Linked DNA regions of Mus musculus: regions 1, 2, 3, 4, 5 and 7 are each reported to be linked to region 6. Evidence: microRNA targets listed by miRTarBase, many of them from high-throughput screens and not tested one by one. Region 6 holds a microRNA gene; each other region holds the end of a gene's coding sequence.
The links. The annotated mature microRNA mmu-miR-301b-3p reads CAGUGCAAUGGUAUUGUCAAAGC and lies in region 6 at 1,881-1,903, opposite strand. An mRNA with a match to its seed (bases 2 to 7 or 8) in the 3' UTR can be bound and repressed. Matches are read on the target gene's strand: a 7mer-m8 pairs with bases 2 to 8, a 7mer-A1 pairs with bases 2 to 7 and ends in A, and an 8mer does both.

Region 1 (4,079 bases), not on the chromosome of region 6:
TCTGTGGTTCGGCTTATGTTCAGAGGGCCTGAAAGTCCTGGCAGAAGAGCAGCCCATTGAAGTTACAAGTTTTCCTTAAAAGGGATTTCTTTTCCTCTGAGCTGATAAGTGTTGAGCACAGGGCTCTTGGCTTTTACTAAGGTGTTTTCATTGGAGGTAATTAGCGACAACAGCCCTTCCTGGGCTTGCAGCCTTTCTCCTAGCAGGACAGTGAGTATTAGCTGTTAGGTATCAGAGTGTGTCGGTGCGGCTCCTCTGCTCACCCTTGCTAGGAAGAGGTCATTTTTACCATGCCCCAAACTGTGAGTGGAATCTGAGGATCATGCTTGGTACTTTAGCTCAGGACACTAATGGCTACCTTGCAAAGATGAGCTATCTTTAAACCCCAATGGCAAGGCCCAAATGGCTCCATTTTTACCCTAAACTGTCATAAGATTCATCTGAAATGTTATTTTAAAAGCTAGCACGTGTGTGTGAGACAGACAGACTGGTGCATGTGTTCTTTTTCGTGGGTGATTTGCAGAGTTTCATTATCTGTCCTAGATAGCATTCCCCAATATGTGAGGGTGGGCAGTTTCTATTTTTGAACACTTAATTGAAGTGTAAATAACTGGAAGTGAACTGCAAGTCTGATGGGTTTCAATGCTTGCACACAGCCCCCAGCTGCCCTGCTTTTTAGGAAGCTGTGCTGCAGATCTGGAAGTATGAAGCTGCTCTAAGTGCATACAACTTGGTGGAAACCTAAGACTACTACAGCTTCCCCTGAAAGAACTCCACAGAACCCCTTAATGACTACTCCCCTTTCCTCCTGCCCATGTAGGCTACAAGACTGGCCCCTGATGGCTGTTGCTCTGCCATTTCTTCTTCCTTCCTCTCCTCCTCCTCTTTTTTTTTTTTTTTTTTTTTTTTGGCTTTTTGAGACAGGGTTTCTCTGTATATCCCTGGCTGTCCTGGAACTCACTTTGTAGACCAGGCTGGCCTCGAACTCAGAAATCCGCCTGCCTCTGCCTCCTGAGTGCTGGAACTAAAGGCGAGCGCCACCACTGCCCGGCTTGCTCTGCCTGGAAACAATCCACAGAAGAGCCCAGCTGGTGAGGCGGGACTAGGATGTGATTCGTCTGCAGCCAGAATGAATGGTAACGTGCACAATGACATCTTGGCATCATACAGACTACTAAGTCTTAATGGCCAATGATCTTGGCATGGCCACCACTCCCTTGAGGGCTACTGCCCAGTGGTGACAGTCACACACACATGTGCCTCCTCTTTCCTGTGCTGTGGCATCTTCTCGGGGCTGTCAGAAGACCCATGCTCTGGAAACAGTTCCTACCTGAGCCTTTCCAAAGCCTGGGCAAGAGGTGACTTCAGCAGTTGGAGGACCATGAGAGAGTTTAGGGGACGGTAGAGGTTACAATGGGTTAAACATATAAAGTAAACCAAAGAAGTGAAATAAATCTGAGCAGGTACCACAGGTGTGACACACGACACTCAACCAGGGCCAGCGCATATGACTGGTTTAATTACATCATCTGCCACTACACACTGAGTAGAATACAGTGGATAAGCTTAGAGTTCTCCACCATGGAGAGACTTGTGTTGCCACAAACTGTTTCTATCCCCACCTGTGTGGGAGGACTTGGAGTTTCCTGTTGCCATGGGCTGACAGGACAGGATATGCATGAGGCCCTGCCTCAGCATACGCTCTGAGCAAAAGTTGCATGCAGGTTAGAACACACGTGGGAAAGCCCTAGACAGTACAGAGAGAAGCCTGTAACCGGTGCAGTAAGGCTAGATTTAAAACAAATAGGCACATGTACTTCATCATGGGTGTTCAGATGGGCACTGCATATGGGTGCAGTCACTTTCTCAAAGAGTCTTCATGGTGTCACTCAGCCATTGCTGCTTAAGTAAAACCAAGCAATAAAGCTGCTACAAAAATTCCAGAGATGATTCATTCCCTTGTATGCCAAAGTGTTGCCTAATGACCACTCTCCCCACAGAGCGGCCCAGTCTGCTGCTGCTGCTCCACCTGGCTTGACAGTGCCAGCTCTGTGTGCGTACTGTGTAAGTCATTACAGTTGCCCAGTCAGAGGCAAAGATATAAATGCCAGAGGAGCCTGGATTAGTGGGAGCTGTGTGCAACGTTAGATGAGACTCATTTAGGCTTAGCTGTGATGTTATCACAGTTCTGATATATTAGAGCAAATCATTCGACCCTCGATCTGTGGCTCAAACCAGCAGAACTAGAGCTGCACATGCCTCTACCTCATGGAACTCAGCACACTTCCTCTTCCTGCACTAAATCTAAGTTGTAGTGCTTACACATGTCACAGCTTTGTTGTTCTGCATAAAATTTAGACCTGTGTTGTGCAAGAGAACCCTATGGAAAGGTACTTGCCCTGCACTGTCCTGTACCCAGCCCTGACATAACTAGTGTGACCAAGGACACACTAGTCATACGGTCATTGTACTGAGGGATTCAAGTTAGTGTATTAAGGTACTGATCCAGAATGTAATTTCTGTTCTGAGGGAATGAAGATTTCTGTAGCTAATATTAATGTGGAATTGAGCCACGTCTCCATCAACTTCACTGGACAAGGAAAGCTACCAAACTTACTTGTAATAGAAAAAATATTAGTAAAAAGTCTGCATGAAGTGCATTTTGTCCCTCGAGGAGGTGGATGTGGAACAGGCTGTGTTGGAGTTGTACACTCTGACTTAAAGGTTTCAATACCTGCAAACCGAATCACTGGCCTCCAGCATTTGCCACTAGCTGCCTTCTTTAAATGGTCCAAATAGTGCTTCTAACCTATTTCTGTGAACAGTATTTTTTAAGCTACTGAATTTAATAAAAACTATTCTTGTTCAGAGACATATACTTTCACCTGGTTCTGCTTCAGGCAGGGAGTGAATTAAAACCCAGAGCTTCTATGACTCCACTTCTGCCTGGAAGTCAGGTCTGGGGGGTAAGACCTCACCTCTGATGGTCAGACAGATCCACCCACAGGACATACCTCTACCATGCAGCTGAATCGCAGGGCTTTTAAACACGTATTTGCACTTGTCAGTGTTCCTAGCCTGTCTGCCCCCAAGAAAATATTAAAAGAAGACCAGAGACAAGAAATGGAGCAGTTCTGGAACTCTAGCACAGGTGCAACGGGACTGGCAGAGTTATTTAATGCTGAGGCACAGCAACCCTGAGACACAGCAGTGGTGACGGCCTGGTCTGCAGTCGGAAGGAATTCCTGAGCAGTCACTGTGAAACCGGTGGGCCACAGACCTGCACACACGATCCTCACGATGGAGTCGCTGACCTGGCTGCTATGAAGACAGCAGTCAGGGTGGCTCTCAGCATGTGAGTATAGAGCAAATGCAAATGTGCCTCGGTGAGAACTGAAAACATTAATATAAAAAGTCAAACAGAACTAAGTTCTGGAAACTACATATAAAAATTGAATTATTACAACTAAAGCAGCCAATCAAAATGCCTGCTGAGGTTTTCTGGTAGAACAACAACAAAAATTAGTTGGTGCTCATGTTGGGTAAGTCACTACCACTGACCAAACTAAACCCCAAACTGGAAATTGAAAAGTGCATACTGAAATTTGACTCTTGGATCAAGTATTTATGGAAAATGGAAATGTTGTCCGGTGTAGTTGATGACTCATGGTCAGGAGGTATTACAGTTTTTCTGCTCCAGCTCTGGCCTGACGCTCCACATAAAACAGAATGTAGGCCTTTGCCTTCCCAACGGTCTCCTCATCAGTCACTGTCACAGTGCTGTCATTGAAATGGAACCAGCGGCCTTCGTGAACTGCATATGCTGTGTAATGTCCAGAACCAACCCTGTAAAGAAAAGGCAAAAAGTTAAAAAAAAAAAAAAAAAAAAAAAAGACTATAGAGTAAAATAGTAAACACAAAAAGGTCTGGTGTTGCATGCCTTTAATCCTAGCACTTGGGAGACAGAGAAAGCTGGATCTCTGTGAGTTTGAGGGCAGCCTACTCTACATGGTAAGTTCTAGGGCTACATAGTGAGACTCTGTCTCAAACGATGAGAAAAGTCTACAGAAGTCACAGAA
Region 2 (4,079 bases), not on the chromosome of region 6:
CTGCTACCATCATGCAGGCACGTGGCTCCTTCTGCACTGGAGGGATGGTCCTTCCCACACCAGCCTTTAATTTGCAGCGGCTAATGACTACCCAGCTCATGGAAGGTACAGTCCTTCCTCTTTCATGGCCCCACTCCAAGGGCATCCATCCTCTTTGTTCTTCTGGGCAGCAGGAGATCTAGATACAACAAATGAAGCCTTGCCTCCTGGTGTCAAAGTATGTCACTGTCAACTCAGATAGCAGAGTGCCAAAAGCCCCAACCTTCAGCTCATTGAAACGTCATCCTATCTATACGACAAAACAGTAGTATACGAATCTTTTCATCACACACCGAAATCAGGGAAAAAATAATGCACCAATAAATGTATTATTTATTTATAAATTATATAAGTGTACAACTGTACAATATATTATGTACATTATAAAACACATAAAAATAGAAATTTAAAAGGATGAGATTAAATACAAAGAATCATTATTTTAACATTTTCTCAATGGACTTAGTATCTGCATACCCCCAGGATGTATACCCCTGCCTGAAACCACAGTTCTAAAGCATGCCCATGATTGCTATTTGGATTTTTAGCTCAGTAACAGGATAATGTACAAGGTGGCATCTGTTTTGTTTGTTAAGGTTTGTAAAATAGCCCTAGTGTCAAGTTTAAGTGCATGATGATGCTAACATCTCAAGACACACTTAGCTAACCACTGCACAGCTGGTAAAATGTCATGCTTCGGTTCACTGGTCGTTGTTTCACTTTAAGGCAGACTAAATAGGGGATTCATAGAGTCGAGAAAATGCTTCAAAAAAGAAGCATTTAACAACAAAAGATGCATGTTGCTTTATTCAAAAGGGATAAGGGGCTAGGCAAAGGCCACCTAACTTAATAGCTAGTTCCTTCAAACAGAATTCCTCTGCCTAGTGACAAGCTCAAGCAAACAAACAAACAAACAACAACAGGAAAGGAAAGGAAAGGAAAGGAAAGGAAAGGAAAGGAAAGGAAAGGAAAGGAAAGGAAAGGGGAGGTATTGGCCACTGTGCCAGTGGAGAAAGGAGAAATTCCCACCATGTGCTGACTAAAAGTCCAAGTTAAGTCCTTAACACAGAGAGTGTCCATATAGCTACAGTGCCTAATGACAGAGCCCGGACATGGAAATTCAGTAAATACATGATAAACAATCCCTCAAAAACATGTAGTGCATTTGAAATACACATTATTACTAAACAACACTCCAGTGTATGGTAGGAGGCAGCTGGAGCGGATACCTGAATACATGTAGCAGATACGTTAACACCAGGCGTGGTGGCTCTTGCTTGTAATCCTATTACTCCGGAGACGGAGGCCAGAGGAGGATTACAAGGTCCACATCCTAGGCTACACTGTGGGTCAAGGCCAGCCAAGGCTATATAGTGAGTCTCAAAAACAAAACACAAATCAAGTCACACAAAGAAAGCCTCAGTACACTGCCTCATTCCACATGGCAGGAACTGGTGTCGGACAGGCCCGAACGTCCCAGCACAGCAGGACAGTACCACTCAACAGCCTGTTCTTCTCCACCCCTAGGGCATGCTGGGAAAGGCAGAGCAAAGAACGAGATTGCTCCACACACAGAATCTTAATTCAATGTCTCGAGTCTTCTCAAAAATCCCAACAGTTTAGAGACTGCGAACATCTGCTTTTGGGTCTGAGACCTCAGTCAGGTGGCCCGATGTCAGCCTTCGCACCTGCCACACTTTCCACTAGCAGGAAGACCCCTTGTGGAAAGCTCTATTTTGACAGACATTCTGCAGATCTAGAGATTAAAACTTTTACACAATGTAAACTACTTAATTTCATAATCAATTTCACTCTGTATCTCCCTTCAACTAAATGCAAACTCAGACAAATTATTAATCCAGAGAAAAATAGGGATGTGGAGTTAAGTGACTGAGTAGAGAGACGAGCACCCTAGCTGGAGTCTTTCCCCAAAGCACTTGTTAAGAGGAAAACTGGTCCTTTAGGTTGAGATGTTGCTACACATCACAACATAGGCAAACAGAATCAAGTTGTTGGAATTTCCAATCATGGAAGACATGCTGTTTTGTAAGCATGGTGCTGTTATCAGGGTGTAAAATCCTCACCAGAGACTCTCAAGCCAGAGAAGCCAGTTGTTTGAACAGTCTGTATACCTTTCAGAGGGCAAAGAGCCACTAGAGAAGCGGTCCTTGAGCCTGGCTCCCTCAGGAAAACTAGGAAATGTGACCAGCACAGCTCTGGCTGTTCATCTCTGCTCACCTGACACAGCTGACTCCCTCCCTCCCTCCCTCCCGCCTGCGTCTAACAGCGCCAGCCAACCCTGGAGCTTCCCAGCCAGTCTCGATCTGAAGGCAAAGCCACACCCCCGGGCCTGCAGAGGAAGGAAGCAGGGTTCCAGTGAGAACAACTATTACATGTTACATCTTAAATTTAGAACAATAACAAAAAATTCATTTTTGGTAATTTTTAAATTTTATTTCCAACTACTGTAGTAACAAAATACCAGCGATAATTCTGCAGGAAGAGTAGCAACCTTTTAAATAAACAGGTGATAAGTTAGTATTGCAACAGTACTTTGGCCTATGGAGAGTTTGATAGGATTATTGCAGTCAGTCTTATAGTACTGTAGACGTGTGTGTCCTCTATGTCTAGTAATAAAAATATTCCTCTGACCTCAGTGACTCATCACACACACATTTCTACTCTGTGTTGAGCACTATCTTTTAGGTTGTACTAAATGAGAGAGAAGAGTTCTTCCTCCTGGGCTTTCCAAGAGTAGACAGAGATAGCAGTCACTTCCACAGTGAGGTACAATATTAAACTTTAGAGTTGAAAAATAAAACATTACCCTATTTATGCCCTTTCTCTAGGAGTAAAAAGACACACACGATTACAAACATAAAATGAGTCAAACTTCTATTTTATTAACAGGAGTCCAAATGAATACAAAAGTGCCTCCTTTGTATGCTGTAGTTACTGTCTTCAGAAGGCTTCGGACAGAGTCAGGTAGGTTAAACTACGAATGTAGTGCAGCTTTTCTAGTGAACCTTTTCCAAAAGGCTGAATGACATCAACCGAGCGTCAGAGAACGTGTGGTCCCGGAGTAACTTTTGGCCCTGAAGCTTATCGGATTAATTCGATCCTGCACTGACACCACCAGAGGCTTTAAGAGGCTGTAAGCCAATAAAAGCCACTTTTATAACGTCTGCTAACTCTGGGCAATTAAGAATGGAAAATTCTAAAATGTAGCCCTCTGTATTATGTGGAATGTGTGAGAATGCTAAGTTATGGCCAAGATAGATGAAAATTATGGTTTCAACTTACATATGGAACTGTTACAATCTTACCATTTGTAAAATATTGATAAATGAATAATAGAGCTTACTAACAGATTAAAAACTTGAGCAGACATTACTTAAAACATGTGTGATGCTTATCATATTTTAATGTTTACTAAAACTAAAGCTGAACAAAGAAGAGCTCCTCATTTATAGATTGTTTTCATGTGCCTTGACTTTTACTGAGAGCATAATCTATCAGGTAATGCACAGCCCACACTTCTGGACAGTTGGAACATCAAAGGATTTATTATCATTTGCAGATGAGATAAACGCACCACCCCATACCTGAAAGGCTTTAAAAACCCTTTTCAGATTGTACCCTGGCACCAGCGGCCTCTTTTTTGCATCCGTTTCTAGTAAAGTCGGCAACCCTTCCCTCCATATCAGCCCTCACTGCTGCTGCTTTATGACCTCTCACAGAGCAGCAATGTTTGCAAGGATGTGCAAACGCTGTAGTCCACTCACTCGGGTTAGTCTCCACCTTCCTCTTCCTCCTCCTCTTCCTCAAAGCTGTCTTCAAATCCTTCACTGTCTTCCTGGTCTTCGTCACCTTCTATCGCTGTGTCCCACTGTGGGTGGTTTTCTGGCACAGGCTTGGCCTCATGAACTTCCAACTATAAACAATTAAATACGTATGTCAGAAATTTGGAGAAGAATAATGAAAACACTATCTAGTGAAGGTTTTCTCTGACTGTGGCAATCACAGAGAGTGAACTTTGT
Region 3 (4,079 bases), not on the chromosome of region 6:
AGTTTGGTTTCCCTATGTTCCACAATTGGAGCCTGTGATGTCTTTAGAGCTACAGTTCCATGGCCTGGCTCTGATGCCAGACAGTGACAGTGGCAGTGGCCTATATTATTCTAGGCCCCTGAATACCTCCATGACCAACAACTGTTCAAAGGGAGGTTAGATGACAAGGTAAAGAGCTTTGGGAAATTTTACAAATAATTTTACAGACCATAAAATGTAATGGCACACTGTAAGAACTTACTGGAGGGGCGGAGGGGATAGGGAGCTCACTGTGGGCTACGGGGGATTAGAGGGAAAGCCCACCCCTCTGCTCACACAGTTTCTTCTGCCCTCCCAGGTACCGTGTGGTGGTCTCCTACCCTCCACAGAGTGAAGCGGAGATCGAGCTAAAGGAAGGTGATATCGTCTTCGTGCACAAGAAGCATGAAGACGGCTGGTTCAAGGGGACACTGCAGCGGAATGGCCGCACAGGTCTCTTCCCAGGCAGCTTTGTGGAGAGCTTCTGAGGACCACTGCTCATGGCTAGCTTCTGTTGTCCTGGAGAGAGCAGAGGATGCCCGCCTTATCACCAAAGTCCGAGCGAGGTTCTTTCTAAAGCACCGGCCAGAAACAAGCCGATGATTCACGTGAAGTCCTTATTGGAAGCACACATGGGCCATGGCGTGTTTGTGAAGATAGGCCATATCCTCATGTGACATCCTACTGGAAGCACATGTGAGTGTCCTGCAAGACCACGCCATGAGTCTGAGTGAGCAGTAGCACAGAAAATGTTACCCACATGGACAAAGGCGCTGCTCTGTCACCCAGCGGCTAAAGCGTTATTGTGTAAGGTTGGGAGCCCGGGAGGGTATAGAGTTGGGCCATGTGCTAGGGCTGACAGCAAGAAGAGCATCTTCCCTGCCTGCCCTGGGTACCATTCCTCTATATACCTCTGTCACCTACCACCAGGCCTCACCGCCAGGGCATTCATGGTTCAGGAGCCTCATAGAAGGGCTGTGAGCCTCCCAAGGTGTCCAGTGGGGTCCTGTGGGGCACTGGAGCAGAACCCTCTTGTCTTTGTCTCCTACTGGGATAATGAGGTGCACCGTCCAGTTCCTCCGCCGCTGTCTTCACACTGCTTCCTTCTTACGGCACACCTTTTTAATGTACAACTCTTAGACTTTATATATTTCTAATAGGTCAGACGCTGCATATTTTTCATACATCTGGTGCTGATTTTTTGTAAAACCAACCTGGGTAAGTGTCAAGGGGGGAAAAAAAGAAGTAACATCAAAGGAAAGTTTTCTATATTTCCCAGATGAAGTTTGGAGCATATTGAGGAATTCCTATCTGTAATATCACAATGCTGGCTGGTGCTCCATGCAGCGAGAGGGAGGGTCTGTGGAGAGGGTGCATGGAGTCGGAGCGTCTTCCCAAACGGCTGGAAATAGCTAACCCACAAGCTCCATCTAGATGAGAGTGATTGCTATGACTAAAAAACTGGAAACAAATGAAGGAGTGGGTTCTGCCTTTGTGTGTGGCAGAAAATGCACATAGACAGACAGACAGACACATACACATATATACACACACAGACAGACAGACACACACACATATACACAGACAACACACACACTCACACAGACACACACACACACACAGACACACACACATACATAGACAACACACACACACTCACACATACACACACACAGACACACAGACACACACACAGACACACACTGACCCCAGAAGCTTCCTTTGATTGCTTTAAAGAGAATGACTAAAAATAGCATTCTGAAAGCACGTCTTTCTACCAAAATGCAGCTTTTACAACAGCTCAGATCCACTCTCTTGCAAAGGATTTTTTTTTCCTTTTCAAAAATAAATAGCTTGCCCTCTGAGGCCAGGCAAAACTCATCTGCTAGAGACCAAAGGTACAGTGATAACACAAGCCTGATGCTTGTCTATAGACTTACAGGGCCTGCAGACGCTGGAAAGGAATGAGGGCTGGTCTCTGACTCTGAGGCCTTACGTATATTCACTGTCACAACAGCTTGCTGCCCAGGAGGCTAGCCTGATGGCTATCAGGAGGTGTGAGTGTCACACTCTAAGAACACTTTTTTTTTTTCAAAAATTTCTCAAAAAAAATAGCAATTTGTGAGCCTCTGGGTACATTTTTATAAAATCATGCAGCCCTGTATCAAGTCTTTGGTAGCAGAGGCTATCACTGATTTTCATAATAAAATAAAGAGCACTTATGCTCAACGTTTCTGTCTGGGGATATGACTAACTAGTTGTGACTGCCGGGTGGCTACCACATGGATGTAATCACACCCAGACGGTCTCACCCTCCCCCAGGTGATAGCACCCTTATTGGACATAGAAAACTGTTGTGAGCCAAAGAGACGCTCTATCTCAGACATAGGGACCCCTGTATGCAGGCTCGGTGACAACCACATGATATCTACTCAGTGTCACTGCTAAATGACTTGCCCATCCATGCACAAAAGATCTAGGTATGGTTCCGTGCTGCCACCATGGAGGTAACACAGATCTACATCCTGGGTGAGGCATGTTTTCAGTGGAACCAGAGCTAACTCCAGATCCCAGACAATGAAGCAAGTCCCTTTCCCTTCTAAACAAGGTCAACTCTGAGTCAACAGAACAGACTTCACTTGGAACTGTCTTCCTTTCTTGCACTGGCTGCCTCGTGATAGAGGAAGTAGCAGCCTCACAGAAAGCAGAGGAAAGCATCAAGGTACCGTGGAAAACATCAGCTGAATCCTCTCCTAGCAAAGTTTACACTGCGACCAGCATGGGGAGGGAAGCAGGGCCCTGGGGCTCATTCTCAGGTGGGGCTTTTGAGACACACAATGAACCCCATGGTCTGAGTATTCTGAACACTCCCAAGCCCTTGAGCCTTCAAAAATCATGTTTTCCACAGCCAATGACAGAAAAGAGGTACCTTTCCTAAGGTCATCTTCCCTTGAGGACACACGTCTGTGGCACCAAAATGAAGCCAGCACCTCATCTAGAACCTTCACATTCCGTCCTGGCCAGCAGCATGTGCCCCTTACTCATACACTTGTATTTGGTGGCCACGTGGGTTTCACTCCTTAGTTCTCAGCCCTTCAGATAGACGGTCAGCAAGGAGACAGGACAGTCTAGCCTCCAGAGGACTGATGGATCTCGAGAGACAAGATGGTCCATAGTGAGGCGTAAATACAAGGCGGAGCACCCCAAAATCAGCCCAGTAGATGTGGAAGCCCTTGTACTTTGCACAACACACACCGAGACAGACAGACAGAAAGACACGTGCACACGTGTGCTCCCAACCCCACATATGTTTTTATTATACACCAATGTCAGTGTGTGATTTTAGATGAATTGACAGTAGTGGCCATCTCTGATGCCTGTGTTTCTGAGTCTTTAAATAAAGATGAACATGGAGAGGCTGTGTGTCTCAATAACGGGACCAATGCAGGTGGGGTAGGCGTGAGCCTGAGAGGTTGGGATTCAGGCCCTGGGGGGGGGGCACTGAACTGAGGGTGTTGGTTTAGTTGCTGGTCTATGGCTGTGAAGAGACACCATGACCAAGAGACGCTTGGGAGCTTGCTTAAAGCTTCAGAGTGGTAATCCCCAATCATTATGGTAGGAAGCGTGGCGGCAGGCAGGCAGGCAGGCAGGCAGGCAGGCAGGCAGGCAGGCAGGCAGGCAGGCAGGCAGGCAGGCAGGCAGGCATGGGACTGGAGCAGAAGCTGAGAGCTCAGTTGCAGGCAGAGAGCGAGGGAGACTGGACCTGGCATGGCTTATGACACCTCAGAGCCCATCCCCAATGATAAATCTTCACCAACAAGGCCACACAAATTCATCCTCCTAAACAGTCCACCAACTGGGAACCAAATGTTCAAATATATGAGCAGAAAGCGGGGTGGTGTTCTCATTCAAGCTATCATAAGGGCACTGCCTGCAAGCCCAAGCCAGCCCCAACACTCACGCTTGTCACCTTCTGCTCCTTCAGGGGGACACAGACTCAGTGTCTATCAGGACTGGGCACAGGGATCCTAAGAACTTGTGGCCAGCAGTGAAGTTGACCA
Region 4 (4,072 bases), not on the chromosome of region 6:
CATGCCTGCCTGGGTGCTGCCATGATCCCACCTTAATGATAATGATCTGAACCTCTGAACTTGTAATCCAGCCCCAATTAAATGTTGTCATTTATCAGAGTTGCCTAGTCATGGTGTCTGTTCATAGCAATAAAACCCTAATTAAGACAAACACTATCATTTGGACAAAGCAGCAGCCTACAGAAATGGGAAAAGATTTTTACCCATGCCACATCTGATAGTGAATTAATATCTAAAATATATAAAGAACTTGAATAATGAAAAAATCCAATTAAAAAGTGGGGTACAGACTTAAGCCTAATTCTCTATAAAGGAAATTCAAATGGCTGAGAAACATTTATGTTCTTTAGCCATCAGAGAAATGAAAATCAAAACTACTTTGAGGTTTCATCTTACACCTGTCAAAGTGCCTAAGGCTAATAACACAAGTGCCAGACAGCTCATTCTGGCAAAGATGTGGAATAAAGAGAACACTGCTTTATTGTTTGTAAGAGTTAAAAACCTATATAGCCTCTATGGAAGTCAGTATAGCTGATAAGAAAGTTAGAATTCACTCTACCTCACGATCTAGCTATACTACTCTTGGACATATACCTAAAGGATGCTCCATCCTACAACAAGGACACTTGCTCAACCATGTTCTTTGCTACTATATTCATAATAGACAGAAATTGGAAACAAGTAGTTATCCCTCGACAGAATAAAAAAGCAATGTGGTACATTTATACAATCAAGTATTAAACAATATGTATTAAGTATTTTCACAATCAACTATTTAAAAAAAGGTATGGAATTTGCAGACAAACAGGGAGAACTAAAAAAACAAAAAAAAACAAAAAACAAAAAACAAAAACAAAACAAAACAGAACATCCCAAGACCCAGACCCAGAAAGATATGGTATATACTCACATTACCCAGTAAGCAAATAACCAAACAGACCCAAAGAGTTTAGGTACAGAGGAAAATACTGGAACAAATTATATACCTCCCTGCAAGGGGAAAACAGTTTATGGGTAGACTGGGAGCAGAGGAAACTGGGAGAACTGGAGGATCTGGTGTGGAGGGGGAGGAAATGTGGGAGAACAGCTGGAACTGAGGGATATTTCAAGGGTGGTATGGAAACTGAGGGCAGTGATTCTAATGAAAAATCTTCAAAAATTCAGGAGACAGAGAATCCCAGCTGGCTGTCTCTTATCACAAAAGAAAACTTCGAATACCAGGACTGGGTTACATATAATTTAGTTGTTGGCCATAGGGTACCATGGAAACCCAAATACAACCCAGGCTGTTGTCAAGATAATAGTTTGTTTTCCACAAACTGATAGCAAGGCCCCATTGCTTAAGCCTACACTCATACAACTCATTGAATATGAAGAAGTCGATCTGATGCCTACATAGAACCTTCACCACTATGTTCTAGTGTCTTTGAAATGGGAAAGTACTCAGTAGGCTACTAAGAAAAACATATACACCAACCCAGCTAAAGCCTAAAGCTTTAATCTACTATGCTGTCCTGCCTACAAAATATGCCAGGGTTATGGTGGCATATAGCTTGTGGGTAATTTGGCTTAAGGCACACAAGATAGGATTCATTCCAAACACTGCTTGTGTGCCAACTATAGCCCAGAGACCTAAGGTAAAACCAAATACTACTGGTCTTTGAAATAAAAAAGCATGCTAAAATGACTCCTAGTGATATTCTATTCAGCTATCCTCATGTATCAGTGCCTTATAGAGCCATCATCAGTGAAGCTTGCTCCTGCAGCAAATGGGCACAAGTACAAAGATCACAACTAGACATTATGAAGAGAGAGAGAGAGAGAACACTCAGCCCTAAATGGAATATCTCCATCAAATCCCTACCCTCAGAGCTCAGAGGACCCTGAGGAAGAGAAGGCAGGAGTGTAAGAGCCAGAGGAGATGGATGACACCAGGAGAACAAGGGTTTCTAACCAACTTGAGTACAGATCATATAAATTCATAGAGACCAAAGCAGCACAAGGCCTGCACATGTCTGCAGCAGGTCCTTTGCGTATATATTATAGCTTTCAGTTTAGTGTTTTTATGGGAGTTCCAAGTACATGAAAAAATGGGTCTCTGAGTTTTGTGCTTTCTTTAGGGCTCTTTTCCTTCTTTTAGTTTGCCTTGTCCAACTTTAGTGTGATGTTTATATTATTAAATTTTAGTTTCATAAAAAATAGATCTTTTTAAAGTCTAAAAGAAATAAAATATACAAAGTCTAACAAAATTTATTCAAGGTTTAAATTTTTTAACTTCACAGTCATTCATGAATAACACACTGCATATACCATGATAATGCCATAAAAATCACAACGGTGCAAAATGTTCTAAACACAGCAATGTTGTAGATACTGGTACTGGAGCACTTGGTCTTGCTCACCTGTGTGATGCTGCTGATAATGAGAGTTAAGTGCTGACTCGCAGTGGTATAAGAATACAAAAAAAAAAAAAAAAAAAAAAGAAAAAAAGAATACAGAACAATGTATAGTACACTACAGTGGGTAGTGGTAATAACCATGTGTCTATTTACTTATTGTTACTATATTAAAGTGTACTCCTAAAGTTTACTGTGAAATAATCTCCCATATTTTGACAGCAACAGCCTCATCCACCTTTTACTGTCTTCACTACATCAAGAGGGCAAATCAAGAGCAGGCTTATGTACCTATATTCTGTAATGTTTGCAAAGTGACTAAATTGCCCAAAAAATGTATTTCTCAGGACATACCTGTTATTATGTAATGTCTTGAAGGTGTAGAATGTATGTGTGCATATGTGTGTGTCCGTATGAGTGAAAGAGTAAGAGAGAGTGAGAGCAAAAGACAGAGAGAGGGGGAGGGGGAGGGGGATGGAGATGATCATTTCAAAACATTTACTTCTCATCATCACCTGGGAACACTTCTCCCAATTTTTATTTGAAATAAATGATGTTTATTCAAAGTCCACAATAGGAATAAGCAAAATTTAAGAACATGTTTGGAGTGAGAATCCTTTAATTATATTCATTTTCAGAGGACAATAAATACAAAAATCATAAAGAATATAAGTAACAGTAATATTTCTCTAATACAGGCAGTATCTAATTTTATACAATTTAACAAGCAAACACTTTTATTCTCCCAGGAATTACCATAGGGAAAAGCTATACAACAGAAAAGAAGTAATCATTAAATTAAAAACTATTTGCTTTTAACCCTAAAGACTGAGGTTCTCACTCCACTGGTCCATGGGAAGTGCAGAAAGGCTGAACAGGTCAGCTCAGCTCCGAGCAGCAGCAGTCTGAGGCTGCTCTGACTGTAGTTGTTTACCAAGATATTCCCTAGAAAACAAGAACATGGTAACATGGCAAATTAGTATTTCAATATAAAGAATCACTGACAAGACTCAAATTTATTAATAAAATAACCCCTGGAAACTACACATTTCCAACTTTCAAAAGCTTGGTTCACAGAGATGATAGGTCTTCATGCAATGCCATTTGCAGGGTTGACTTCCCTCTTTACATGAAGGACTTACTCTAACATCTGCAGTCTGAGCTTAGCAACCAACTTAAGATTCCAATGGGCTTCTTTATACCATAGAAAACACATTTCTTAGTGTTAGAAAATACACACATGTATAGCCTGGGATGAACACAAGGCAATAAAAATAAATCCCTAACAATAACAGCAAAAGTCAGGACTCTATCAGGAGCTCCTCTTGTGGCCTACAAAGACCACAGTATTGCATGCCCAGCTATCACAGAGGCTAAGGAGTTTTCTCATTCTACATACGGGGGTAAATGAATTAAAGTGATAGTCTCCAAACTGTCTAGATCCTTCGGGAAATAAACTGACAGCAGGTTAGAGGTACAGTCCTACAATCACAGCACTCAGTAGGCAGAGGCAAGAAGATTGTGAGTTCAAAACCAGCTTGAATTACATAATTAAATACGAATTTTAGGTTACATGTGAGAAAAGAAATAGAACATGTACCTACAATATGCATAGCTTTAGCTTAAAATCACATATAGGAACCACTGAGACAGAGGGAATGGGTATGTTCTTTACT
Region 5 (4,000 bases), not on the chromosome of region 6:
CTGCTTCCGATTGTTGAAGGGCTAGAACACCCTGCCCTAGGTCTCTCCCACAGGCTGTTCTGGAATGTTTAATGCTGGCCCTGCCATCTCTAATATCTTCTGCCTTGACTCCTAGGATCACCAGCCTTTTGCAAATGCCCATGATGTGCTGGCCCGCTCTCGCAGCCGAGCCAATGTTCTAAACAAGGTGGAGTACGCTCAGCAGCGCTGGAAGCTCCAGGTCCAGGAGCAGCGAAAGTCTGTCTTCGACCGACACGTTGTCCTCAGCTAACTGGGAACTGGAATCAGGTGACTAGGAAGAACACGCAGACAACTGGGAAGAATTGTCTGGGTGTCCGTGCGTTTTAATGCCATGTTTGTTTTTACAAATCCTTGCTGGATGGAGGAAGACTCCAAACTGGAAGCAAACCCCATGCTTGGTATTTTCCTGTTAATATATTAATAGAGACATTTTTACAGCACACAGTTCCAAGTCAACCAGTAAGTCTTTTCCTACTTGTGACTTTTACTAATAAAATTAAGCTGCCTGTGAGTTATCTTGAAGCCCCGTGCCTGGAACAAGCTCTCTCTTTCTTGCCACACAGTTCTAACTTGGTGTTCAAGATAACTTCCAGGTGTGTTTTTGCTTCTCTTTCTTGTGGTGGGAGAGAGAAGGAAGGATGCCTTGGGAGTGCTTGAGTAGCTTCTCAAGTGTCTTTTCCAGACAGACTTATGAATACTTCAGACCCTCTACTTCACACTTGTTAATGTCCCAGTGTAGCTGGCTTGTCAGCGTGCTGGCCTCCCCACTTGACTTTTGCACTGACTACATTACCTAAGATTCTGGTTAGCCTGTGGCTGCATTTCATGACCAGTTGGATCTGAAATGCCTGGGGGCTCCTCACAAAATGAAGATTTGTTTCATGCACTGTGATGTCTGACGCAACATGTTCTAGAACAGACTGGCCATCTGCTAGTTTACACTGATACCTAAACACAGTCTCAGTGTGTGTGGTCTTCCTCATCTTCTTCTAGTAGCTCTAAGGACTTGAACATTTAGAATAAAGACATTTTCTCTTAAGCCCAAGCCTCCCTGGATGATTGACGTACAAATACTGATCAGCCTTTTCTGTCTTGCTGAGAGGCAGTTCTTTGAACTGATGTGGGCAGCTTTGAACAAGGACTAGAGTTCAGATTGCCTCTCTCTGAGAAGTCTAACAGTTATTGGATAACTGGCTTTTTTCTTCCTACATCCTCTTTGGAATGTAACAATAAAATAATTTACAAAACCCAATCAATGTTTCTGTTCTCCAGCCTTTCTCCTTTCTCTTGTGCTGTGTGACAAGCATGTGACACAAAGACATTGGTATATTGTAGTTTGAAAACATGTTATGCAACCAAATCGTAAGACACTGACTGTGTTAAGGGTATGTAGGTGCAGAGAGAAAGACAATGTATTCCTAGGTACACAAGTAGTCAGACAATCTGAGGACCTCTAATGTCACAAACCAAGCATGGTAGTACATGCCCTTAAGCCTAGCACTCAGAGGGCTGAGACAAGAGAGTTGCTTGGGATTCAGAGTCATTCTGGGCTGTGTAATGAGACCCATACATATACATATACATATACATATACATATACATATACATATACATATACATATACATATACATATACACATACACATACACATACACATACACATACACATACACATACACATACACATACACATACATATACATATGAAAAAATTGCATATATATGACAGACTTTAGTGATTGCTCAGTGGGTAAAATCTAGTCACACAAACCTGAGTTCAAATCCCCAGGACCCTCATAAAAAAGCTGCATGCAGTAGTGTGAGTGGACCAGCTATCTCTCTTATACATCTTGTCTCAAGGTGGAGAGGTAAGGGTGACCCCACGGGCTGTCCTCTGTTCTCCACATGCATGTGGGCCTGCATACACAGGAAAGAAAGACTCTTGCAAAACTGGGAATAAGAGGAATTTCCCCAGCCAGATAAAGAATTACAAACTGAATTTAGTGGCTTTTCCTGTAAGTCCAGCATTTGGGAAACAAGCTGGAGAATTGCCAGGGGTTCAAGGCCAGCATAGTCTACAGAACGAGACCAGTATCTCAAGAAAAACTGCAACAATTAGATTTATGTAATAGTAAGTTATATTTACTGGCGAGAAGTTAGAAGCCTTCCCCTTGAGATTGAGGAGGCACAGATGTCCTCTTGTGATGCTTTAACCTCACCCTATGAGTCCTCGCCCTTGAGATGGAGGAGACAAGGATGTCCTCTTGTGCACTTTTTAACGTCAACCTTTAAGTCCTAGCTCGTGCCATAAAAGAAGAAAGATTCAGAGTACGAGGGAAAAGAGACTGCTTAAGGATGACGCTGGCTTCTAGAAAACCAAACAACAAAACCCTCTGGAACTAGTAAGCAATTCCAGCAAAGTTTGAAGATTTCAGGATGTAACAATCTGGTGCTTTCCTATGTACAAGCAGTGAACAGGCCGGGGAGAATGTAAAAGTACAACTGGGCCAGGGAGATGACTGAGCAGGTAAAGGTGCTTGCTATCGAGCCCAGTGACCTGAGAATCCCTGGGACCTACTGGATTGAAGAGTGAACCTAACCCTGCAAGCTGTCCTCTGAGTTCCACAAGTGAACACACACACACACACACACACACACACACACACACACACACACACACACGTTCATAAAGTTCTTAAAAAGAGAAAATGGCTGGGGTAGAGTGCTTGTTTAGAGTGCATGAAGCCGCAGGTCTGATCCTTAGAGTAGAAATCAGATGTGGTAGCGTGTGGTTGTGATCTCAGCACTTGGTATATCGAGAAGGACCAAAAGTTCAGGGCTATCCTCAGCTACTGGTCAAGTTTCCCCATCTCAAAAACAAAAAGAAGGGCTGGTGAGATGGCCCTGTGCTAAGAGTGCTGGCTGCACTTGGAGAGGATCTGAGTATACTTCCTAGAACCCACATGGCGGCTCAAAACACCCTGTAACTCCGGTTCCAGGGGCTCCAGTGCCCTATTCTGTCCTCCACAGGTTATATGATGCACAGAGATGTATGCAGGCAGAACACCATGCACACACACACACAATCTTTAAAAAAGCACAAAAGGGAAAAAAAGTTTTGAAATATCTTTGATTGTATGTTCTTCTTTAAAAATACTGTCTTGTGAAACAAAAGAAAAATTAACATTTAAAATAATATAATTTTAGTTTCACGTGGGACAGAAGCAAAGAGAAAAGTCATAGTTCTCTCTGTGCAACCCAGAAGGGGTGTTCTTCAGGCTTTTTTTTAAAAATTTATTTATTTAGGGGGTTTTTTGAGACAGGATTTTTCTATGTAGCCCTGGCTGTCCTGGAACTCACTCTGTAGACCAGACTGGCCCCGAACTCAGAAATCCACCTGCCTTTGTCTCCGAAGTGCTGGGGTTAAAGGCGCCACCACTGCCCAGCTCTTCAGGCCTCCTAAAGAAAGCAAGCTCCGTCTTGCTTCTGTAGTTAAACTAATCATCTTCTGCCTGGACCAGAAGAGACATTGTATTCCGTCAAGGAAACTCACGAGCTATGGGTAGTGTAGCTACAGCTGCTGCAAAGGCAGCACTCTTCCCTCTTGTGGGTGCTGGGAGCTGAACTTGGGTCTTCTGCAAGAGCAACAAGAGCTCTAATTGCTGAGCCATCTCACGAGCTCATGCTAGATAGTTTGGATGTCAACTTAGCACAATCTAGAATCCGCTGCAAAGAAGAGAATCTCAGTTGAGAAAATCCCTCTGTAAGATTCGGCTCTAAGGCATTTTCTTAATTTGTGATTGATGGGTGATCATCCTGGACTCTCTAAGAAGCAGGCTGAGCAAGCCAGTAAACAGCAATTCTCTATGGCCTTTGTATCAGCTCCTACCTCCAGGTTTGAGTCCCTGTCCTAACTTCCTTTGGTGATGAACAATGATATGGAAGTGTAAGCCAAATAAACCCTTCTTCCCCAGTGTG
Region 6 (4,079 bases):
AGATATGTAAGATATGCACATGTTAGGATTCCTAGCACCTCAGGATGGATCTGCTGTGGCAACAGCTGCTGACACACGTCTACCCTAGCCACAAAGGAGTGTGGTTGCTTCTTCCCCATCAAAGCCCTCCGTCAGGCCTGAGACTCATTATGTATCAGAGCAGTCCCCATGGGTGCCAGGACTTGTGGAGCTAGAGTACTATTAAGGCTGATTTTCTCAATCTATTCCCAAAAGGGAATCTGGAAGCCTGGGCCTCCTCTCAAGGAGGCAGGCCTGACCACCTCCTACTAGGTTTTTGTTTGTTTGTAAAAGAGGGGTGGGTGCATTGAAACAGGGCTTTACCATGTAAATATAGCTCTTCTGGAACGTGCAGGGTAGACCAGGTTGTCCTTGAACTCACAGAGATCTACCTACCCATGCCTTCCCTGTGCTGCATTCAAAGGCATGGGCCATTGGGTCTTGCCGCTAAAGGTAACTCTGCAAGCACACTAAGGATCGGGCATCCTTAAAAATTCAGCTCCAGGGCTGGAGAGATGGCTCAGTGGTTAAGAGCACTGTTCTTCCAGGGGTCCTGAGTTCAAATCCCAGCAACCACATGGTGGCTCACAACCATCTGTAATGGGATCCGATGGCCTCTTCTGGTGTGTCTGAAGACAGCTACAGTGCACTCATATAAATTAAATAAATAAATAAATAAATAAATAAATAAAAATGAGCTCCAGCCCTGTCTGGAAAGCAGACATACCAGACACCTCCATGCCTCTCCTACTCAGCACATACCCTCTTTGTAAAGGAGCAAGCAGACATGGCTGGCAGGCCTACTCTGCAGGCTTCTTGTTCCAAGTCCATCCATCTGGCCCAGGCAGGACACTTCTTCTGAGCCTCAAGGTGTGAACCCAAGGTGTGGTTATCTCAGGAAAGGCTGAGTCCAGTTCTTCCCGAGGCAGTCAAGGCTAAGCAAGGTATACAAACCTTTTCCATACAAAGAGGTGAACATCTGTTTCTCTCCACAAGGTCCTGGAGTTCCTAGTTTTGTTTTGATTCTTCAGACAGCTTCAAAACTGAGACAATCTTCCTGCATCAGCCTCCAGACATGGGCTCACCAATCTTTCTTTCTTTTTTAATTGATTAATTAATTAATTAGTTAATTTGGTTTTTCTCAAAACACGGTTTCTCTGTGTATCCCTGGCTGTCCTAAAACTCACTATGTAGACCAGGATGCCCTAGATCTGGGTGATCCACCTGCCTTTGCCTTCCAAGTGCTGAGATTTAAGGCATGAGCTACCTACCATTCACTCACCGCCGCGCCCCCTGCAGCAGACTCCCCTATCTTAACCTGGGGGGAGGGGGCTAAGAGCTTGAGACTGGAGCCTTTCCAAATCTGGGGTCTCCCCTTTGTACTGGTTCCAGCCTTGGAATATGGTTCTCAGCATCCACCTTATCCTTTTAGCTAGAGATAGCTATCTCTATCTAAGACTATGATCCAAGCACTGACCCTTTTGTTCCTCAGGCTCCTTAGCTGGCCCGACAGATGCCCTTTCATCATTGCACTGCTTCCCAGAGGCCCACAGTAGTGCAACAGGGAAAGAGTGTCCAACAAGCCTGTCAGTCTCACGGGGTGGGGCGGGGCATGGGGAGTTGGGGTGGCTGGAGTGGGATCTTAGACCTAGAACGCATGCCCACCTGGGCGGAGCCTCGGCCTGAGCAAAGGATGCCCTCTGACCCCAGAGACACGGGCCTGGCTACAATCTCAAGTTTCCATGGAGAAGAGAGTAAAATGAGCAGGGGGAGGGTACGGCCTGCAGGCCTGAGGGGCCAGGCCTGGAAAGGGAAGAAAGAAGGAACAGTAGGTGAGGTGGTCTTCGAGGCTGGTCCCAGATGCTTTGACAATACCATTGCACTGCTTCTCACAGCACAGTAGTGCAACCTAGTCAGAGCACCCGCAGCCAGCAGGAAATCCATCGCCCTCGCTGCACGCAGGGCTGCGCTGGAAATTCAACCACCATGGGTGGGTGGGACATCTATCCAAGCTCGGAGAACAGACGGGATTCCAGCCCGGATGCAGTCCTCTGGACTTATTAACTTCAGGGAACTCAAACTTTCTCTAACAGGCTTCTGATTCTGGTGAGGTACTCCAAGGAGGGAGCTGAAGGGCGAGCACCCGAGGGGGCTCAAACACAAAGGAGAGAGGCCTGCGCTCAGTTGCAGAGGGGAGCACAGTGGGACTACTTGTACCCTGTTTCAGACCAGAACTAGAATAAGAGGGATACTTCACTCCTTGCACGTGAGGCCCTTGGAGTCCGAGATCCGGTCCTTGGTCCATTCCCCCAGTATGAGTTCTGCACTCTATCCTAACAGATTCTCCTGCCTAGAAGAGCAGAACTAGGGCTTCCTGGCATCTGGAGTTTCCCTGGCCTCACCGCACACCCTATCCCAGACCAGTTACTCACGTGGACAGACACCTCTTGTTCTCACCAGGGGGACAAGGTGAAGCTTAGTGGAAGATCCAGGTAGGCGGCGGCCCCGTCATATCTGGACAACCCCGCACCTCAGCACCTCGTGGCGCCCTCTCTCCCTCGGCTCCATCTTTAACCATCTGACAGTCCCGAGGGCCGAGCCCCGGGCCTCAAGGCACAGCGCCAGCCTCATTGGCTTGCGCCTACACCAAGCTTTGCCTCCTGCGCACCTATTGGCTGCTGCTGGAAAGATTTCAAAATAGCCTCCAGGCTCCGATTGGCCAGGCGCCCGAGTTTTGGCTCCACCGTTTTAACAATGAGTTCTACAAACACTTTCTCCTCATTCATAACTCTTGAAAAGGAGCTCTGTCCGCCTTTTCCCAGCTCATTTCTCTGTAGTTATTATAGTGATACTCATGAGGGCGCGTCCATGCTTACTACACAGCTCACCAAATTAGCGAGGGCTCTGAGATCCCGGCAAAGTGTCCTTTGGCCAAGCCAGCGGTTGAATGAACCCCTAGGGGATGCTTCGTATTTCGCGAGAAATTTGTTCATTGCTCCTCCAGGATGGGACATTTACTTAAAAACCGTGGCCTTCCCTCTTTCTGTCCAACTTCAGAGCATCGTCATCAGGAAACCTCTGGCTGGGCTGAGGAGGCCCTGGCACTTTTTGTAAGTGAAGAAATGCTCTGATGTCATTGATGTCATTGAGAATGTGAACCACTTTATGGGTAAGAGTTCATTAAGTGACCTTTCTGAGCTAATATGTCCAAAGATACACAGCACCTAGCACCCAGAACCTGAGGTGTTCTACTCAGTTCTGTCAGCGAAGGGAAAAACAGAGTTTTGCAGCTGGCGTCTGAGCTTTACCCCTAGTTATATCCATATGAGACAGGGAATCTTTACCCCCCAGCTCAAAGGCTGAAAGAAAATATTTTTAAAGCAGACAGAGCTGGTTTTCGATCTTCAAGAACTCATTTTGTCCACTTAATTTTAAATGTAATTTTTTGTGTATGGGTGCTTTGTTTGCCTGTCTGTACCACCATGTACATGCCTAGTGTTCAGGGAGGTCAAAAGGCTTTCTATCCTCTGCAACTGAAACTATAGAGGATTGTAAGCAAACACATGCATGCTGGAAATGAAACCCATATGCTCTGGTAGAGCAACCAATGCTATTAACACTGACCCATAATATCTCAGTCCCTACATTGTTTTGTCTTCTTTGGGAAAAAAAAGAATGCTGGTTTTTTGAGACATCGTATATCACGGCTGGCTAGTTGAGAACTCACAGAGTAGACCAGGCTAGCCTTGTGCTTATGGTAATCCTCCTAGGTTTTTGCAGTACTGGGGATACAGCCACCACACTGCATCGCTCCACACAGATACAAAATAAAACATCCAGAAATTCCAACATTTGGGAAGTGGAGAAAAGAGCCAGAAGTTCAAGACCAGCCTGAACTACATGAAATACTGTCTTTAAAGAGAGGGGGCTCACCAGAAAGAAGGCTCAGTGGTTAAGAGGGTTGGCTGCTCTTCCAGAGGACTCAGGTTCCATGCCCAGGATCCACAAGTTGTCTCAAAGGCATCTGTAACTCCAGTCCAGTATCGTCTTCTGGTCTCTAA
Region 7 (4,079 bases), not on the chromosome of region 6:
CCTCAACCGCGTGGTTTATTACATCTGTGACACTGTCCTCTGGGCGAAGAGTGTGGGTCTTACCTCTGGAGTCAACAGAGAGAAATGGCAAAGGTGGGCGGCTCGCCATTACTACTACTTCCTCTTGCTGAGCCTGGTCCGGGATCTGTATGAGATCTTGCTGCAGATGGGACAAGTTGCACGTGACAGAGCAAAGAGAGAGAAATCCTCTCGGGACCCTCCTAAGTACAGCGTGGCTAATGAAGAGACTGAATGGCTCCAGTCCTTCCTCCTCCTCCTATTCCAGTCTCTAAAGCGACATCCTCCCTTGCTCCTGGACACCGTGAAGAACTTCTGTGACATCCTGATCCCTCTGAACCAGCTTGGGATCTACAAGTCCAATCTCGGCGTGGTAGGACTTGGAGGTCTCATATCCTCTTTGGCTGGTCTCCTCACGGTAGTGTATCCTCAGCTGAAACTGAAGGCCCGCTAGGGTGTTTGGAGGCTTTAAGGCTAGCAGTTCAGTGGAACAAACATTTGGTTTTGTCCCAATGTTTACTGTGCTTAATTTAAAAAAAAAAAAAAAATCATGTGAGCACCTTACCATCCTATGAGCAGAGGTAGGACCAGCAGTGGCGCATGCTACAGTAACTTCATTTCTGTTCAGGTAACATTACTGAGCATCTTTTATGTACATAGTAAGAGCCTAGTGTTGCTGGACAAATAAAGATGAAAAGGAGAGAAACCATGAAAGACCCAAAGAAACTAGAATTACAGATCAGGTTGCACAGGTCCCTGATTCCACACAAGCACACCAGGGCTGAAGCACAGCACTCCCAGCTCTGCTTAAGTTTTCCCTTTTCTCCCATCTGTTATTATCCCCCACTCCCACGGGTGTCAGGAGTGAGATGGAGGGGAGCTGGGCTCAGCGCCTGTTAACCTGCTGGTCCCGGTCATTGCTGCAGTCGTGTCCTGACCATGTCCAGTAGCCTCAGAAGAACATCAGTGCCTCTGGGGCGGAGGCTGTGTCCACAGGTAGAAGGCTCTCGGTAATGCTAGGAGCAAGCAAGAGCCACAGAAGGGACCAGAGGTGAAAGCAGGTGGGAGGTCACCGCGGCCTGTTATGTCATCCGTCACAGATAAGGACTATGACAGTACAAAACAAAGCTGATAGCACAGATTCATTGGGAGACTTTCCAGGATGATCCGCGTGATCTCGTTACCTTCAGCGGTCTTCCCGGGCTCAGAGCCCTTAGCCCCTTAACATGCCCCCGAGTCCTGGAGCTTCAGTTGATGGTTTCTGTCCCAGTCTATGAAATGCAAAGCAATCTAGACTCACCCAGGTTGGTTTGATTTAGCTACATAACAGTTTATGCAATTCCACAGTAATTTTTATCAAAATAAGAGAATTAAATTTTTTCTGTCTATAGATGTAGGAACGTCAGTTTTCTGTGACAAATCTGGTTTTCTCAGGACAACTGAGAGGGACAGGAAAGAGCAATAGGGCCAGTGGAGGGGTCGTGGGGACACCGGGTCAGTGCATTTGCCCGTGTTCACACTTCACGGTTCAGTCTTCCTGTCTTGAGTTTGGTTGGTTTAGGTGTGTGGTGTGGGAGACACTGGCCAGCAGGCGGGTCATGTCTACTAAGTGGAAATGAGAACTATGCACTAAGCAATTGTTTCCCATAAATGTGAAGGTGATTCTTGAAAAGTGGACTCAGGCCCTTGGCATTCTCTACTTTTAAAATGATAATGTGCTTTGAGAAGACTTTGGGGGCGGGGGTTGAGATTAAAGTGGCTAAAACAAGACAAATACCAGCAAATGCCTATTTGCACTGTAACTTTAATTATGTCTAATAAATTTCTAGATAAAATTGACTCCTGCGTCTGTGAGTGTGTCTGCACTGGAGTCCGTGGGAACTCAGGAATGACAAGGTGCAGGCTGGGAGGAAGGCACAGGGACTATGTTGAGGCTCTGGGTTGAGAGGTTCCCTTACAGATCTGTCCAAATCATCCCTGCTAAGATGCTCTACAGTAGCCTGGCAGGGGCTGGCCAGCTTCCTGGAGAAGCCTGCCTTCAGTGCATGGCAGTGTTGCGTGGCTGTCGCTTCTGATGCTTTGGGTCTTGCACATTAGAGACAGTGTTGGGAGGGTGGAGAACTGCCATCTTCTAGAATCTGGAATCTCAGTGGGCCCTGCTACCTCATCCTCTTATCTTTCTCCTCAGCTAACCCTCTCTACCTGGGTCCACATTTGTGAGGGATTTCAAACACTGGGAAGCCCTGGGGAGCTGTGTAGCTGGGCTTGTGGCTACTTTGTGGGTTCTTTTCTCTTCCACCCTTTTCCACCCCTCTTCCCTTTCAACCCCAACACTAGGTAGGAGAGAAAGAAATTCCCGAGTCAAGCCCAGGATAGGAAAAGGGACGACCATGTTATTAGACTACTGCCTGCTGATTCGGGGCACTGAGTTCCTCGGGGCAAGTTTGATCTTCACCATCAGGATATCTAATGTCCTCTTTTTGTCTCTTTGCACGCGACTACTTGACAAACCGCAACCAACCGCAACCAACCTCAACCAACAGCATCCAAGAATGAAGCAAATCATAGTCCCCGGCTGTTAAGCAGCCTCATATCCTCCAAACCTGGGATTGAAACGAAAACATATTCCCACACTATTTCTGTGTTCTTTAAAGAAACCAACATTGTCAGCTACAGGGCAGCACAGGGCAGCACACCAACAGTTGTGCATCACTGCTGAGCACTGACACAGCACACGTCTCAGTGCCCTGCTTGGCTTGGGGACCCACCTGTCCACAGAGTGGTCAAGACCTCTGCTCTCCTGGAGAGGAGTAGCATGAGATAGCTCCTCTGCCCATCCCCCTGTGGTGTTGGCGAACCGCCTCTCACCCTCGCCCTTAGGATCTGCCTGGCGCTTTCCCTTGTCACCTTTCACCCACATCCTAGAATCCGTACAGAAGCAGCCAAAGGACCGGCTTTGTCAGCAGAGCTTTCAGGCACAGAGCCCTATATCCTCTCTGGCCCAAAGCCACTGCCTGGGAAGGCAGGCTGCCCTTTAGCCTGGGCTGTGTCCAGATGCAAGTCTCCCAGATTACTCGTCCTGAACCTTGAAGCAAAGGCAGAGGCCACTTTACACGCTCCCCTCCTTCCCCACTGCTGTCTTACAGCCCAAAGGCTCAGACCAAGATTAATAAGTATCAAATGCATGACATATTCATTACCTCTTCTGGAAGCTCCTTGTTCCACACCCCTCCCTTTCCTGGCATCTTGTTCCCTGTTTTATTATACTGAAGATAAAATTTACTACCAAGGATCTATCGGTAGCCTTTCTCACATCCTTATTGTTTATTGCATTTATGCATTTATTTGGGGTGTGTGTGCGTGTGTGTGCGTGTGTGTGTGTGTGTGTGTGTGTGTGTGTGTGTGTGTGTGTATGTGTGTATTCGTGTGCACTTGGACACACCCGCACTTATACACATGCTCAAATGTCACAGCATGCATATGGAGGTCAAAGGACATCTTGCCAGTGTCAATTCTCTCCTTCAATTCTTTGGGACCCAGGGATTGAACTTTGCAGCCAGGCTTGGTGGCAATCACCTTGACCTGCTGAGCCATTTTGGTGACCCTACTCAGTGCCTCTCCATCCTGTTACCCATACTAACAACTTAGTAGACTCAACAACATCAACTCTGGTGAATAGGGACTAACCGTGCTGCCGTCCTCTCGTTCACTGTGATTACGAGGCCCTTTCTAGTTGGTCTAAAGACACAGCTTGGCACCACAGTGCTCCATCAACATTAATCAGAAACTAAAGTTTGAGTTTGGGCTTGAGTTCCTGTTGAGGAAGGAATAGCAACGGATAATTCTTGGCTGTCTGGGTGCTGTTGGTTGGCAAAACCAACCAACCAGCCAACCAGCCAACCAGCAACCAACCAACCAACCAACAACCAACCAACCAAACCAGCTGTCAACACCTTTACTTGTCCAGACATAAGTGAACAAAACCAAATAGTTCTCCTCCTTCTTGTTCTGGTGGCATCTCAGGCTAAGTAAAGTTCCCTCCCTCCCTCCCTCCCTCCCTC

Region 1: the mRNA of Usp3 is a reported target of mmu-miR-301b-3p. The part of its 3' UTR that is shown has no 7-base or 8-base seed match.
Region 2: miRTarBase lists Sec63 as a target of mmu-miR-301b-3p. Seed matches in the 3' UTR shown: 7mer-A1 at 3,044-3,050 and 7mer-A1 at 1,197-1,203.
Region 3: the mRNA of Sh3rf3 is a reported target of mmu-miR-301b-3p. Seed matches in the 3' UTR shown: 7mer-m8 at 2,677-2,683.
Region 4: the mRNA of Atp6v1h is a reported target of mmu-miR-301b-3p. The part of its 3' UTR that is shown has no 7-base or 8-base seed match.
Region 5: miRTarBase lists Tmem9b as a target of mmu-miR-301b-3p. Seed matches in the 3' UTR shown: 7mer-m8 at 797-803.
Region 7: the mRNA of Pex11a is a reported target of mmu-miR-301b-3p. Seed matches in the 3' UTR shown: 7mer-A1 at 1,644-1,650 and 7mer-m8 at 1,810-1,816.

What each region holds. Positions count from the first base shown.
Region 1 is chr9:66,514,733-66,518,811 of GRCm38, forward strand. Usp3 (ubiquitin specific peptidase 3) reads right to left here. Exons shown (of 15, transcript NM_144937.4): 15 at 1-3,846. The coding sequence ends at 3,681. Among named protein-coding and RNA genes, the nearest start is that of Fbxl22, 2.2 kb to the left of the region's middle.
Region 2 is chr10:42,828,785-42,832,863 of GRCm38, reverse strand. Sec63 (SEC63-like (S. cerevisiae)) reads right to left here. Exons shown (of 21, transcript NM_153055.3): 21 at 350-3,973. The coding sequence ends at 3,830. Among named protein-coding and RNA genes, the nearest start is that of Scml4, 30 kb to the left of the region's middle.
Region 3 is chr10:59,135,483-59,139,561 of GRCm38, forward strand. It overlaps Sh3rf3 (SH3 domain containing ring finger 3), which reads left to right. Exons shown (of 10, transcript NM_172788.3): 10 at 338-3,434. The coding sequence ends at 506. Among named protein-coding and RNA genes, the nearest start is that of Gm23223, 58 kb to the right of the region's middle.
Region 4 is chr1:5,161,374-5,165,445 of GRCm38, reverse strand. It overlaps Atp6v1h (ATPase, H+ transporting, lysosomal V1 subunit H), which reads right to left. Exons shown (of 14, transcript NM_133826.5): 14 at 2,897-3,341. The coding sequence ends at 3,281. Among named protein-coding and RNA genes, the nearest start is that of Atp6v1h, 80 kb to the right of the region's middle.
Region 5 is chr7:109,733,107-109,737,106 of GRCm38, reverse strand. Tmem9b (TMEM9 domain family, member B) reads left to right here. Exons shown (of 5, transcript NM_020050.1): 5 at 116-1,271. The coding sequence ends at 271. Among named protein-coding and RNA genes, the nearest start is that of Ascl3, 3.4 kb to the right of the region's middle.
Region 6 is chr16:17,122,540-17,126,618 of GRCm38, forward strand. Mir301b (microRNA 301b) reads right to left here and starts at 1,957; the gene lies at 1,861-1,957. 2610318N02Rik (RIKEN cDNA 2610318N02 gene) reads right to left here and starts at 2,663. Exons shown (of 7, transcript NM_001358255.1): 1 at 2,451-2,663. It overlaps Mir130b (microRNA 130b), which reads right to left and starts at 1,603; the gene lies at 1,522-1,603.
Region 7 is chr7:79,733,735-79,737,813 of GRCm38, reverse strand. It overlaps Pex11a (peroxisomal biogenesis factor 11 alpha), which reads left to right. Exons shown (of 3, transcript NM_011068.2): 3 at 1-1,856. The coding sequence ends at 472. Among named protein-coding and RNA genes, the nearest start is that of Plin1, 3.0 kb to the right of the region's middle.